Oryzias latipes: one gene and its partner. The protein of the gene in region 2 purifies or fractionates together with the protein of the main gene of each other region. This does not show direct contact. Links are inferred from orthologs where the notes say so. Each region holds a gene or a part of one and is shown on either strand. Other genes may lie near its edges.

Region 1 (7,317 bases), on a different chromosome or scaffold from region 2:
AAGCAAACAAAAAAATAAATAAATAAAAGCAGTTGGATACAGCTTGTGTTTGTGACGTAGAAAAAATGCTGGGCGGGCCACGAGCTCCCTGCTCCGCTCCATTCCGATGCCTTATTTGTAGACAAAAGGGGGAGGGGGAGGGGATGGGGTTGGTTCCGCCCACAACTCAAAGGCAAATTTTTTAATGAACTTCAGAAAATATGTCCAAAAAAACGACACAGGTTGTCGAGTTGGACTAAAAACTTCATAATCATAATTAAAAGACCACTGGGAACGCTTTGAAACAGATCAAAAGATGATCAGAGAGAGACTTTAAACATTATTTTTAATGTCAAATTTCACTTGTGTAGTTTCAAGCTGATGTGGTTGCTTCACTAAAAGAGGATTGCAAACAGTAAAGCAGTCATATCACCGATATTACTATACAAATTACAGATATTACAATAGTATTACTATACATATTACTATAGTAATATCTGTGATATATATGATATTTAAAGGCAATCTGCCAAAACCTCTGTCCAAACAATGTTTTTTCATGTCACTTAGAAACTGAAGGTAAAAGATATTAAAAAATTTTTTTTAATATTTGGATTTAATGTGATTGTTTTCCAATATTGTGTCTTTCTAATTTATAAAGATATATACTTTTATGTAGAAACTCTTTAAGGCTAAAAACTACTTATATTTGTCACCAAAAGAAAGAGGATCAACATTCACCCTCTACTTATGCAAACAAGTCAGAAAAATGTTTCATCATATTTTCTACTTTTGGTTCACAGAAGCCTTTAGTTGGACAAAAAAAAAACGAGTGGCAGCAAATAAACAATGAGCCCTGCCACAACGATGTACGCATGCACATTATTGCTTTGAAGAAAAAGTGAGATTGTGGAAATACATGCTTGTTTATTGAAAATCTTTCTAAATGTATTGATATTTTTTCCATTTCTATAAACTCTTCATCTAAAAGCACAGCTTGCATTTCCAATTTACTTAAGCAAAAGGACAATTTCTTTATAGAAAAATCAAATTTTCTAATGCTTTTTCTCAGCAACTTTTTTAATCTGATTTTGTCTAATCCTGAGTTTTAAACCAAGTTCTTCATAACTGAACCCTTTACCTGATTATGTTACACTTTAGATCGTCATTTTACCTCCCAGGAGACTGTGGAAATGGAAATGCAGCTTGAATGAAGCCTCCTGGTTTTTTTATAAAGAGTTTTGCCAAATTAAAAAAAGAAAATTCCATTCTGTCATTTATAACAGGAACCAACAGTCACACAAACATCTGCAAGTAAATTTTTGTTGAGCCGCTGTGAGATTTGATCCATTACAGATTCAAAACTAAAAAAAAGTGACCTGCACATAAAGCAGATTTAGAATTTTATAGAATTGTCACTGTGAGATAAACCATATAAAAGTAAAAGCATCATAAAGTCAACACAGGTGGTGTCTCCACCCAGCAAACTGCCACCTGCTGAATCAAAAGGATGCTGTCCATCAGAGGACTGAGAGGGGGGGACACTCACCGGAAGGTCAGCATAGAAGTAGTGTTTCCTGTCAAAATACGACTTCTTATTTATGGTGCAGTTGAGAGCCAATCCGGTCATCACTGCAGCTTCAACACATCGCCTGTTCAGCATCTGGAGACGCAGAAATGCATCAATTTAGAAAAAAACCCCAGTAAGCCTGAGTTTTGTACTGGAGAATCACTCACAGGTAATGTGCCGGGTAAAGACGCATCAAAAAATGAAACCAGGGAGTTGGGAGGAGCTGAGAAGCGAACTGGAGAACCAGAGAACAGCTTGGTGTTGGAGTTAATCTGGGCGTGAACTTCCAGGCCGACCACTCCAACCAGCTGCTGGGAGGCACTGGAAGCAAAGAAGCCAGAACCATGAGACGGGGTTCTGAGGAGAAGGCTGTGCAGCTGGAAAACTTTAGAAAGCAACTTCTGTCAGACTGACAAAGAAAAATGTATTATTTCATTTATAAAGTCTAAAAACCACAGTTGTTTTCCTGAACTCAGTTATAAAAACACAAATGTGTGTTTATGCAAGTAAAACCTGAAGAAGTGAACAGAAGATTATTGGTTTGTGTGGAAACAGTTAACAATACAGAAATAACACTGCAGAATCGAACAAAAATATCAGCTCATTTTCAAAGTACTGACTTGGAGTCTGATGAATTTTTGTGCTGACATTAACATTAAAGCAAATGTTTCTGAGAGCAAATAAAAAGTTTAAAAACTTGACATTTTTTTTCTCTTTTGGTAAATTCTGTGAAGCAGAAAGATGACGAGTCATGATTATATTTTTACAGCACACAATCATCAGAGTTCATCAATAGGGTAGGAAATTAACAATTTCCATTTAGACATTCATTTGGAATTTGGAAAAAAGCATTAAAAATGTTTTTTTAATGAATGAAACTAAAACTAAACTAAAAGACCGAAGCGATAAATAATGCTGAACATCTCATGGGCTCTTGAAATAGTGTCAGCAGGAAAAAGGGGTAGAAATGTGTGCAAAAAGGCATTAATGATGGAGAATTTAAAAAATATATATATATTTATTTCAATTGAGTGTTGTCTTTTCCTTTTTAAAATTTTTTATAATAACTTCCAGAAATAAATTCACAAGTAACTAGTTATGATAGGACTTATTTTTGTTTGAAACTTGCCTAAAATGTTGTACAGTAGAAGTACAATGTTTACCATGTCAACAGAAATAAAACTAGGAAAATAAGACACATTTGTCCGTGCTTGAATAAAGTCTTTTAGCTTGTGATTCAAACAAACAGCAGTCTAAAAACCTTAAAAACTAACAGGTAACTTGTTTTTCCATTGAATTTTAAACATTTTGAAGACAAGTGAATAATAAGGAACTGAATGGCAGATCCTCATCCTGACACAACATATTTTTACACAAACATTTCTAGTTTAGTTTAATTTTGAAAAAAAGTGGGTTTATAGTTAGCAGTGCCTTTTAAATGGTCCGTAGAAACTACAACAACGGTCAACGACATTTACAGTAAAAGCCAAAATAATAGCATACCGACATTGTTTAGCTCCTATGCGGTGTCTAAATACAAGAGCACCTGAACGCAGCAGGGGTTATGTGCGCTGTGTTCAGGTTCACATCTCCTGAAACAGTTAGAAAATAAATACTTAACGTTAATGTCCGGCTTTACCTCTTTGTTCTCGGTTCAGGTTGTTTATCATAGTGTGGTCTTGAAGTACTGATTTTTCGGAATAAACACAAAGCTTTCGGATACCGTGTTGATATTTGTTTTATGTTAAGAAATATTTCATTTGCTGTTACACGAGAAGCAGCCATGTTTGCAGTGAAGTGTTAAAGGATGATGGAATTTGTAGTTCCATTAATTAGTCCGTGATATCTGCTTCAACGCCGCTGTTCGTCTAAGCAACTACAAGGTCCAGTTTCCGAAGGATTTCGACTTCCTGTTTTACTCGACGTCATTTCCGTTTTCTTAGCTGGCGGGACTTCTCCACATGTTGAAAGAGGGGCTGTGTCGGGTTAGAGATCTATAAGTTGTGTGAGAAAAATACAAGAAGATGATGGCAGCAAACGAAAAAGTGGAATCTCTGTTTCTAAATGGCGGTTGTGAAGAATCTGATCATGGCGCCGCCTCATCTCACTCGACAGCGCACAACTCGAAAACAGAGCAGCCGCAGAGGTTCACCTTCAGTCCAGAGCCCACCATGGAAGACATTCGGAGGATGCAGGCAGAGTTCACGGACGAGCGTGACTGGAACCAGTTCCACCAGCCCCGGAACCTGCTTCTCGCCATGGTGGGAGAGGTGGGGGAGGTATCGGAGCTATTTCAGTGGCGCGGGGAGGTGGCCGAGGGCCTGCCGGGCTGGACAGAGTCTGAGCGGGAGCAGCTGGCTCACGAGCTCAGTGACGTCATGATCTACCTGGTGGAGCTCGCCGAGAAGTGTCGCGTGGATCTCCCGCAAGCGGTGCTGCGCAAAATGGCCCTCAACAAACTCAAATATCCCGCAAGTAAAGTCCACGGGTCGGCCAAAAAGTACACGGAGTACAAGGACTGAGCTGGTTGGTGGAGGCCAGAGACTGTTGCTGCTAAACCTTTTTTTGTTCTCCGTCACAGTGATATTTCTTTCAATGCTGACGCCTTTTGTCTACTCAGTTTTACATCTGAGGTCAACCTAAAAAAAAGACCAACGGGATTTTATTTTGAAAATTATCTGTTTTTATTAGGAATTATTTTTCTTACAGAGTTGGTTATTTTTTATGTATTTGGAAGAGCCCATTTTCCCTTGAACATCTAACGTCTAAGGCTCTTTATAATGCAGAAGTGACAGTGGGGAGAAAAAATGGGGTGCCAAATCCGTTGTACTTGTCTTGTGAAAAGCACAGAACAACAATGAAAAGGCTTTTACCTTTTGTTTATTCCCCTAATTATCATTTTGAATTCCATGTCTTTTCTGTTCAAGTGTTACACAAAACTGCCTGAAGTAAAAAAGAATGGTTGAAGTTTGACTTGTGTGTTTCATTCTTTCAGTTATTTGATGGCAGGAGCAAAAAAATTCAAGCTCTCACAGAAATCTGATCTGAACTGAGATTACATTAAAAACTCCTTTAGTTTAGTTGTACTCTTAATTTTTGGGGAAACTTTAAATGGACTCTGTAACATGTGACACATTCACTTATCAACATACTAGTTAAAATAATTAGCCAAGATCAAATTACTTAAATACAGTACTAGTCTTGAATGTATTTGTTTGGTGAGAAGGGCCACAGAGAAATTGGTTTCCCCAAATCTGTTATTCTAACAAGACAAACCCCTCTAATATGAAACAATCATTTTCCTGTTTACTTGCATATCTATAATTTGAGAAAAAATTAAATGTTTCTATGCTTCTTAAAACGTGCTAAATGAAATACAGCTATGTGTGAACAGATGTTGAAGTAATGCTATAGTAAGAAAACATTTTTTTGAACTTTTCAGAGCACAAAGAGCCATGAGCCTGATGAAAGCAGTCAAAAGAGGAGACATTCTTTTTATTTATTATTTGTAGGTGATGCATGAACAAACTGCCTTCAAATTGAACAGGGTTATTTAGGTCAGAGGTCTGCAACCTTAAACACAAAGAAAAAAAAATCAATTTGGGCCAGATTCTTACTAACCAAAAACCTGGAAGGGCCACAAAGTCTAATTTCACTGCTTAGAAAAATACCCTGTGCCTGTCTCCTGCCCGGATAAAGTCCAGGGTTGTATCAAGAAGGGCATCTGGCATAAAAATGTCTGCCATACCACCTTCATAACTCAGTGGAGGCTGACTCGCTGTGGTGACCCCTCTGTGGACTCCATGTGCCTAAAGGTGAACAACAATATTTATGTTTTAGTGATCATTTAGAAATGTATCTCTTGAATATTTATAATCATCAAGTTTGTTATATGCAACTATTTCATTTTTTTTTTACTTTTGAAAGCAGTTTATACAAGTTCCTTTTGAAATACAACAAAAATACAACCCATGTCAAAGAAGAACCTCCTGTAGCAGATTCACTTGAAATAAAAATGTAAGAAACTTATTCTGATAATAACTAGCTGTGACAGTAGATTAAATTGTTTACCATGATTTTGATGTGTGGATTATGGAAGAGTGGTAAAACACACCAATCCATCCTAATGTAGTGTAATTTCAACAGTGATGGAAGAACAAACAAACATGAAATCTGAACATTAAAAACAAAAACTTAATTAAAAGTAAAGCAGCATGCCGCATTGTATGGCTTGCAAGTGCTATCCGCCCTGCACTCACACCCCACTCTCTTTCCATCCCTGCCCTCCCCCACCCCAAAGCACACCCTTTCTGTGAGCCCTTATTGGCTAAGCAGTGGCTTCATGCCACTTGTTACAACATGGACCAAAAAGGAGATGTGTGATGTAGGCCCTGTAAGGCTTAAACTAAAAAAACAAAACAAAACAGTGGCCTGTTGTTGGATAAGTTGCAGTTTCTGTGTGTAATATTTGGGTGACATCTGGCCTTGATAGGGTTTGCTTTAGGCCCACATCCGGCTACAGGAGCAGGCCACCTAAGTGCCGTCATGTGGGCCCAGTATGGGCCAGAACTGGAATATTCACTGGTCTTTTTTTGGCCCAGTTACGGTTGTGGGTAAGATGTGGCTGACATCTGGCCTTGCTGTGGTGTGCATTAGTCCCAGATTTAGCAGTCAAATGTTGGGTCAAATATGTGCAAGAACAAAAACAAATGGTGACCCTTTGATGGGCTACTTGTGATCTCTGTGGGTAATATTTGAACAGAATTTTTAGCAACATTTTTTTGTTTCCCACGCCCAATTTCCTAATACAGTTATATCATATGTTATTATCGTTTTGTTCAGCTTGAGCCAGGGAATCATGTTTTGGATTTTCATGACATTCCGATAAAAAAGAGTTTGCTAAGATCACAACAGTTGTGAACTCGCCACACGCATGCTGTTCGAAATCTACAAATTCTAATTCCAACATTTTTTCCACAGTAGTTTCTGAATGATGCTCAAGAAGTTAGGAGACAATCAATGAAAATCACCAGGACGAGTTTTCATTTATAGCTAAAGATTTTTTTTTAAGTTCCAGATGGCGGCCTCTTCCCCAGGTCAAAGGTCAAGACGTAACCCTTGTGCTATCCTAGGCACTTTAACATTAGGAGTTGGGTCATCTAGACCCACTAGACAGTGCTCTGAACAATTTTTCTTCAATCATTTGTGATCTTCACTGGTGTCCATGGATTACATGAAATCTTTTCACCTTTATCCACCTTTGTCATGGTAGGGAGAACACGTCAAAGTTAGGGTGGGGTCATCTAAGATAGCGCAAGGGTTAAGCTGGCGGCATGTGTAAGAAATTTTGTGAAGATTAAACAAACTAGTTTCCTTTTCCTATATTGGGGGAATATGAGTGTGATAGCTCTACACCAAAATGTCCTAATAGGCAAAAGTTCATGTCAAACATGACGGTAGACTGTTGGGCATGAACCTCTGTTGCTATATAGGTACTAAATATTGCTGAACAAGCTGGAGTAAAGAATACTTTTAGTTCAGATCATGCCACACTTTCATTTTTACATAGTTCTGATTACAGAGCTGTAGATTTGCTGTAAGTCCTCCCCTGTACATCCCAAACGTTTCCAAGGTCCTCATTCTTTTCTCAAAAAGTCCATTTTTATTGTTTTCTATCAACTCTCACCACATGTGATGTCCTGAATTGACAGAAGAGCCTTTGCTAAAAAATTAAACCTACTGCTTTTTATGAAAACGAACAAGCTGAG
Region 2 (7,773 bases):
AACATGCTGCAAGTTCATCATTTTTAACACGTTGACAGGGAACCATGTGTATACTGTGTTTAAGCAGACCACACACACTGTAGCAAATTCACAATGGGATGTGAAAAGGAGGGAAAACCTCACAGCAAATGAAAACAAATCACAGCAAGGGGAGACAAAAAGAAAAGTCTGCTTTAAAGCCATTGCCTTTCCGTTTAATGTAACATTGTGTGCCCACTGAATTCACACACATGCACCTCTGTACCATAGTCCTTGGAACTGGAGGCAGGGGACGGACTGCTGCAGCCTAACAGCCAATCAGCCGTGTTTAGAACAGTCATGTTTTCACCTATGGAGGGTGCAAGGTGGGAGGGGTGTGAAGAAACATTGAACTAAGAACCTGCCACTGCAATCTCAGATGAACCCCTTGAATTGCCACATAGTAATATCAACTCTGAAAGACAAAACATTCACATAACTCAGGGGTCTGCAACCTGAGACTCCAGAGCCACATGCAACACCATCCACTGTGTCTCCTTATCTTTTAAGAAAAATACTATTTATTGAATTTTTTTTTTTTTTCTAGATTTTCAACACGCCAGATAACTGCATCACGATGGTAAAAGGCTTAATCTACTGTCAGAGCGGTTTATTATTAGATAAGCTTAAAGCACATTTTCTGATCTTCTGCTGCACAACAGTGTTGCTGCTCAGAGGTAAAGCCCCTAAAGTATATATTAGCAATGATCTTAACATTTTTTCATTGAAAATCTACTTCAAAGTTGTCATAATTATAACTGATAGTAAGAAGAGAAAAAGGATGAAGTTGTTGTGATAGAAAATGCCATTTACCATTTGGCTTTCATGCATTTTTAAAAAAATCTGCTACAGCAGGAGGATCTTGGGTGAATTTTATTTTGAAAGGAACTTGTATGTAGCTGTCAAAAGTAAATACAGTTGTAAGTAAATTATCGTAAATATTTCACAGCTACATTTTAATAATTAGTGGCCTAATGGTCACAAAAGCATACTAACCCAAATGGCTCTTTCCACGTTAAAAGTTGCAGACCCCTGGCATTACTTAAGTCACACATAAGGAAGTAGTCATGCAGTGACTGTTCTTACACTCCAGTCAAATGGATTAATAAAATGTTTAACGGAAAGTTAAAAATTGTTATTGGAAAAATGCGCTAAGATGTCTTGCATTAGCTGAACTGCAAGATGCATTTTTTAAACAATAATTAGCCTATTTCAATTCAGATGTAAACAATTGTTTGACCATCTGTGCAAAGAAAATATATATTATTAATGGTAGGTGTTCATATACAGCAAATGTGTCTAAATCCCATCATTTAGTTGGATTTGAGATCATTTCAGTACATTTGCTGTGGAGAAAAACCTGTGATATGTTCTTTGCTTACACTCAACAGTTTTCACAAGGACTGTTCATAGACTGTTTATTACACTTGAACCACACATTCTATCAAACTTATGGTAACTCTTGCTCATTCAAATGTTTTTTAAGTCAAAGGATCTTACAATAAATACATTATCATAAGTATCTGGCAACAAACATTGTGGGAATTAGATAACTTGTTTGTAATTTGCTGATATGATGGGGCCACATCATCACATATTCTGCTTTCGTTAAATCAATATAATAAAATAATACATTTTAAACATTTCAAATAGGCTATTTTTAAATGTGTAGGCTCAAATTTCTGCCAAAAACAGCTTCTTAAATCGTAAATTCCTGAACTGTCTCCCAAATTGCTTTTGTTTGTTTGCTCAGTGCCTATATATCACCTGGAGGCCCAAATATGTAGTTTTTATTTTATTTTTATTTTGAACGGATAAAATAAACAAATAAACACCAGAAACAGACATATAATGATGACAGTATGCAAAGTTTAAAAAAGACTTTGGATGAAGTTTAACGTATGAAAACAATTAATTTTGGAAAGAAAAAAAATAGTAATAAATGTTGTTGACTCCTTTATATGTATACAATACATCACCCTTTATAATTGCATTGTATTTATTATGGATTATCAATTTTTGATGTTTTCTCTGCAGTTATTCCATAACTGAACCCCTTTTGTGGAGATTTTCTTACAATAGAAAAATATTTTTTAATTTGAAATTAACGGCACAGTTACAAATTATTTTGAGCTTATCTGACATTCTGTCATGTTGGTTTTGAACCAGTTTAGCTGCCTTTTCCTTTCACTTTTTGTCCAATCCTCAGGCTAAATAAAACTATGTTTTTGAGTAACTGGAAACAGGAGGTGAAAACCTAAGTTTCTCTTGGTAAAACTACAACTGAAAGTTAATGAATTAGTGTAATAAATACCATGAAAAAAAACTTAACAATGATAGTGATCAAAGCATTAGTCCACTTGTTAAAAAACCTCGATATATTCTGTATTAGCTTTCCAGATAGTTTCTGTGCATCTGATTAAACTTCATCACAGTATCAAAACCTCATTTAACTCAGAACATCTTCATCATTCTCCTAAAGGAGAAAAATATAAGTATGAATCAGTTTCTGTGGAAATGGTGGGTCTGAGTGTTGGCTGATGTAAGGTAACAGGAATGTTGGGTATGTAGTTTATTTTGGCTTTGTGTGTACGCCTGGCTTTGCCTGCTTAAACCATTAACTGTGAGCTCATCAAAATGGATTTAACGGCTCTAACAGGGTTGGAATTGGTTGTTTTTTTTCACTCAAAGGTTGACTGTTGACACATCAAGATGACTAAAATGCCACAGCTCACTTTTTCCATCACATTATGCCTTAAAAAGCTTTCCGTTGCCCGTTGAAGCAACAGCAGATCAAAGAATTGCCCTGAACAGAATCACCACATTCAGGGCTATTACGTCCTGGTGCCCTGCCAAAATTGGCTCTGAGACAATTAAGAATGAAGAATTGATGGATGGAAAGAGACAGATGGGAAGAAAAGATGGGGAGAAGGAAAATGAAACAGACAAAGTATGGACAGGGAAGAAAAACAAGCCGGGCAATGACAGAAAAGAGCAAAAGGGCTAGCTGACGTTGACACATAAGAGAGCAGTTATTCTTCAATGCTGTTGTAAAGAAAATAGTTGCCTGAGAGGTTTTGGGCTTAAATACAAACATTCTGACACACAATAAACTGAATGACAATTCTATTTAACCCTTGTGCTATCCTAGGCACTTTAACATTGGGAATGGAGCCATCTAGACCCCACAAGACAGTGCGCTGAACCTTTTTTCTTCAATGATTTGTGATCTTCACTGGTGGGTGTCCATGGATTATATGCTCTCCACCTTTATCCACCTTTATCATGGTAGGAATAACATGTCACTGGTCATCTTGACCCCATAGGATAGCACAAGGGTTACACGGAAGTGTCTTTTCTTCTTCTTTTTTTGTTTTATAAGCCATAGTCTGTCTATCAATTTTACTTCATTTCTGCAGGCCTAAAGCCTCTTGATTATCCTGCCCAACTGCAGATACATTAAGATAGAGGATTATTTCCATCAATATAAAGTTGTGAGTACTTCGTTTAAAATTGTAATAAGACCAAGGCCGGGGATCACAACACATCTGACCCAGGGGGTGTCCGTGTCCCTGTGGTCAGGGTTCTGGTTCTTGCCCAAAATTCCAACAGTGGGTGAACCTGGTCAGGCCATGTTTACAACACTCCATGGGGACCCCCACTTCTCTTGGGCGTCCTCCTCCTGGGCGAGAGTGGGTGGCCCCTGCTTTGCTCTCTCCTGGACCTCCCGTGGGCTGGGTGGGTGGCTGCCTGGAACATGGGGCGGGTCTCTTTTGGGGAACCCTGGCTCGTGCCTGGGTTTGTTAGGGGGGTGCTCAGAACTACTGGGTGGTGGTGGGCTGCTCGTCTGGGGCTGGGGGTGCTCTCCCGGGGTGGGACCACACGTTTGGTCCCCCGGGTGTGGCAGGGGGCTGCTCTTCTGGTTGGGCTGTGCTCACCTGTGCCCCCCTGCTCTCTGGTATTGGGGGCTCCTTTTTTTTTACATTTCATCACTCACCCCAGCAGAACATAACACTCACTCGAGCACAGGTGTTAGCTTATCTTCGCACAAATAGTTTGTGTGACTGAATGAAATGTTTCACACTTGTTAGTCTGAATGCATAAGTATGGATGTGTGAATGGTAGTTGTATTGTGTACATGTTGACATGTTTGTATGTGAAGATTTTTGGAGCCAACAGGTATTTTTGTAACATTTGAGTGTGTGTGGACAGAACCGCCCATTTTAGATCTGCTACACAGCTAAACCTGATAGTAGTTATTAGAAACTTCCAGTAACTTGTTGCTTTATGATGCTTTATGATTTAACCCCCCCCCCCCGCTTCTATAATCCCCCCCCCCCCCCCCCCCCCCCAATATCTCTCTCTCTCTCTGTCTTCTTCTTTTCCATCCGGTCCAACAAACAACGGTTACAAATATAATTAATATAAATAAGGTTAGTCTAAATTAAAAAAGGGGTTTATTCAAATATACATCTTGTACATTTGAGGCTGAGCATAACTTTGTCCTGTTTGTGCTCATAGAGGTAAAGTCCAAAAAAATGCTGGGTAATCTGGGAATTTAAAAGTGGTTCCGAATATGAACAACAATGCATTAGCATGTTTAAAAAAGGTTGTATTTTCGGTTTCTCTTTACAGAATTTAAAGGACGATCAATAAAAAAAATGCCTTGAGGTCATGGTGGGCACTGGAATCATAATGTTTTGACCATCTCAGCAAAATTAAAGGGGAACTTAAATGATTCCAGCTTTAGTTTTCTCCTCTTTTTTCACTTGCAGCGAGGTCAAGGTTCAAGATTAGGTAAAGTATAAAATGTTTCATATATATCATGAAGATTAAGGAAATTCTTCATAGTATTCTTGATGTTTTTATAATACTTCTCACCTCCTGTTCCATTGCTGGTGATGGAAGGGCTTTCCAGGTTGCTCTTGTCCAGTTTGGAGCCTGTTGAATCACCACCTCCAACTCGGTTATGAGGACTGGCTAGGTCCTGCATTTCCATAGACCTGACAATGGCGAGGACGGAAGGGAAGGGGGTGAGATGAGGCGTGGTTTCTGAAAGAACAGCTCTTCCTCAGCGGTGATCACTCTCCCGTTTAGTGTGGGTATCCCACTGAGCACAAGCAGCACATGCACAGGGATGGATGGTCATAAACGTCCTCATATTCCGCGGCAGTTTGCTGACATGAGCATGTGTTCAGAGGCGCTATGGATTGTCTGTGGACCTGCTGGTTTCTTTATGGAGTGATAGCGTGCGTGCTTACGCTGTCCAACACAAACCTAAAGCCTGCCAGCGTCCCCCCCCCTCCCCCCGTTTTACAACGTGTTCCAGAAGCATGATGGGACAATTCGGCACATAAGGCACGGATGGTGAAGGGAAAATGCGTGTTAGCGTGATAATTGGAGACGGAAGAGGACCTAAAAAGACATCTTTACTGCAGATTTATTTATTAAAAAAGGTGTTTAAATAGAAAAATCTCCACACGCTGCCAAAGACCCTCATTCAGAGTGTTTTCAAAAAGTGCATAGCAGGAAAACCAGAGTTTATAAATCACTCCTGCCACAAACCCCAACATTAACATGTTCTTAAGTAGAAGACATACTTTAATGTTGAGTCAGCCCTTGTTGTGAACATAACGTGTGTGTCCTGACTCATGCCGCCTGCAGGTTTGGTCACACAAGTGCTTTTATGCGAAATATCAAAGCCAGAAATGACAGAGATGGAGGAAGAATTAAACAAATGCGGGCTGCTGTGGAAGGGAGTGCACATCTGTGTGGAAGCGGCACATCTCCACGCTGGGGGGCAGATGGCATCACCACACATGAATCCAAGCCACAATGAGACTGTAAAGGGAAAAAAAGGGCGCAGATTGCTCCTTTTTAAAGTTAAGCTTTGCTTTTCGTCACATCTCAGTCAAAATCCTGAATTTATTCTGGGAAATACACATTTTGAGCGATTAAATTTGGCAAAACCTGGTAAAGGCATCAGGAACTTTTAGAGATGAGCCTGTTTCCCTTTCATGTTCTCACCAACTCTTCATTTATCCTTTTCTTTTTGTCCTTCAGCAGCAGGAAATGATTCTCGCTCCCCTCCTCACTTCCTCCTACTCTGTTTAGCTCCTCTCGGGAGGTGATGGCAGGAGTTGGTGTTTCATAAACTCTTTTCTGGTTTCTACATTATCTCCAGCAGCTGAAAAATAAGCTATGTTTTGCTGAAAAGTGTCACATTCTGGGCTTTTTTTCACAGATTAAATCTGTTAAATTTAATCCTTAGTTTACAGTACAAAGAAAGAATAAAAATATTGTTTTATAATTATAGTTGTAAAAATGATAAGGATTCACCTTTTTTTCTGAGTATGTGTGCAAATGTGTGCAGATACTGAAGTCTTGGGATAATACCGATGACCTTATTGCAGCTCCAAATGCAGTGAAACCTCACCTCTCTGCACCATGACCGAAAAGCTGAGACACGCATATAGCTGCACGAACACACACTTTTGAAAAGTCAACGTTTTTTTTTTTTTTTCCTTCTTTCTCACGGCAAACGTGTGAGTGTACCTGACGTCTGAGGGGTCTGGAACATGAGATTCACTGTGGGATTTCTTCACCTGCAGAGAAACAAGAGGAAAGTAGGTTACTTCACACACAAGCTCCCATGCAGTTCAGAAGTATCGCAAAACATGTCATACATGATTCCCATAAACACGACAAAGCATTTTTACCCATTTGAAGCCTAAATTTATTTACAGCTATGAAAAAGAAGATGCTAAATTAAGGTAATTTTAGGGCTTAAGTGGTTTGATGCTTGCATCATAGGCATCACCAGAAGGTAAAGTATGCATCAAAATTATTATAAAAAACGAAAAGATAAATCAAGGCACCATCACCGTAGTAACAACACGACAGAAGTGCTAACTGGCATCTAAGTGACAGATATTAACTTTCCATCGTGACCCCGTTTTATCCTGAACTGGATTCTCGTTATTAACCCTGTGCAAGTTGAAAGGTCCCGGCAGGGCCATGGCGTTCACCCTTAAACACACCCCTGCAGGGACTAAACTTGACTTTGCGGGGGACATTTGGTTCTGTCAATCAAAAAAGAAATTCAAAAAATTGGGAAAACACAGCCTTGGTTCCTTTTCACCGCAGGGTACTTTCCCCACAAGCGGCCTAGTTTCATGTGTGGCTGTGTGAAGCAGGACCAGTGGTTATCTATTAAAATTCCTCACTCTTATTTGGAACAGGAACTAATTAGAACAGTAAATGCAGGGCGGAGTGAGGGCCAATGTGTACCAGCTGCCCTATAATCACTGTGTCAACACACTGTCGAGGCGAAGGGCACGCGCGGGCTGCCAAACGCACACACAAGCGCTTGTACATGGAAATACAAGTCACACACACGCGGCCAATTCCACCCAGGCGGCATAAATCCAAGTCATCTCCACATTATCGCAATCACAGGTAAGTATGTGGACAAAGTGCCTGAGTAAGCAGACACAAAACTGCAGGTATGTGGAGACTGAGATGTTTCTGTGTGCAGAGAGGACGCCCATGTGCTGTTATGGTTCTGATTAGAGGATCCTGTAGAGAGCGGATAAGAAGCAGTGCTTGGCTGTTTAAGGCAGAGTGCAGAGGTCAGCTGGTCCGCACCTACAGATCACTTTACAAAGACGGGACGCACACACACAAGCCACTTTCATGTCACTTTTCATGCTTTACTGAAATTTAACAAGGCTGTCAGTCACGCCGTCAACGGCA

The links.
Region 1: the proteins of eya4 (region 2) and dctpp1 purify together in Homo sapiens (affinity purification with mass spectrometry; 3 studies listed by BioGRID and IntAct, with this or other methods). This does not show direct contact. The link is inferred for Oryzias latipes from reciprocal best matches to the Homo sapiens genes EYA4 and DCTPP1.

What each region holds. Positions count from the first base shown.
Region 1 is NC_019859.2:19,226,067-19,233,383, forward strand, and holds dctpp1 (dCTP pyrophosphatase 1), read left to right. Parts: upstream 1-3,449; 5' UTR 3,450-3,573; coding exon 3,574-4,071; 3' UTR 4,072-4,522; downstream 4,523-7,317. Other genes in the region: gatb (glutamyl-tRNA(Gln) amidotransferase subunit B, mitochondrial), read right to left, coding at 1,529-1,642, 1,717-1,870, 3,189-3,334. UniProt on the Homo sapiens protein: Hydrolyzes deoxynucleoside triphosphates (dNTPs) to the corresponding nucleoside monophosphates. Has a strong preference for dCTP and its analogs including 5-iodo-dCTP and 5-methyl-dCTP for which it may even have a higher efficiency.
Region 2 is NC_019882.2:14,110,221-14,117,993, forward strand, and holds part of eya4 (eyes absent homolog 4), read right to left. Parts: intron 6,624-7,773; coding exon 6,574-6,623; intron 5,022-6,573; coding exon 4,900-5,021; intron 329-4,899; coding exon 245-328; intron 1-244. UniProt on the Homo sapiens protein: Tyrosine phosphatase that specifically dephosphorylates 'Tyr-142' of histone H2AX (H2AXY142ph). 'Tyr-142' phosphorylation of histone H2AX plays a central role in DNA repair and acts as a mark that distinguishes between apoptotic and repair responses to genotoxic stress.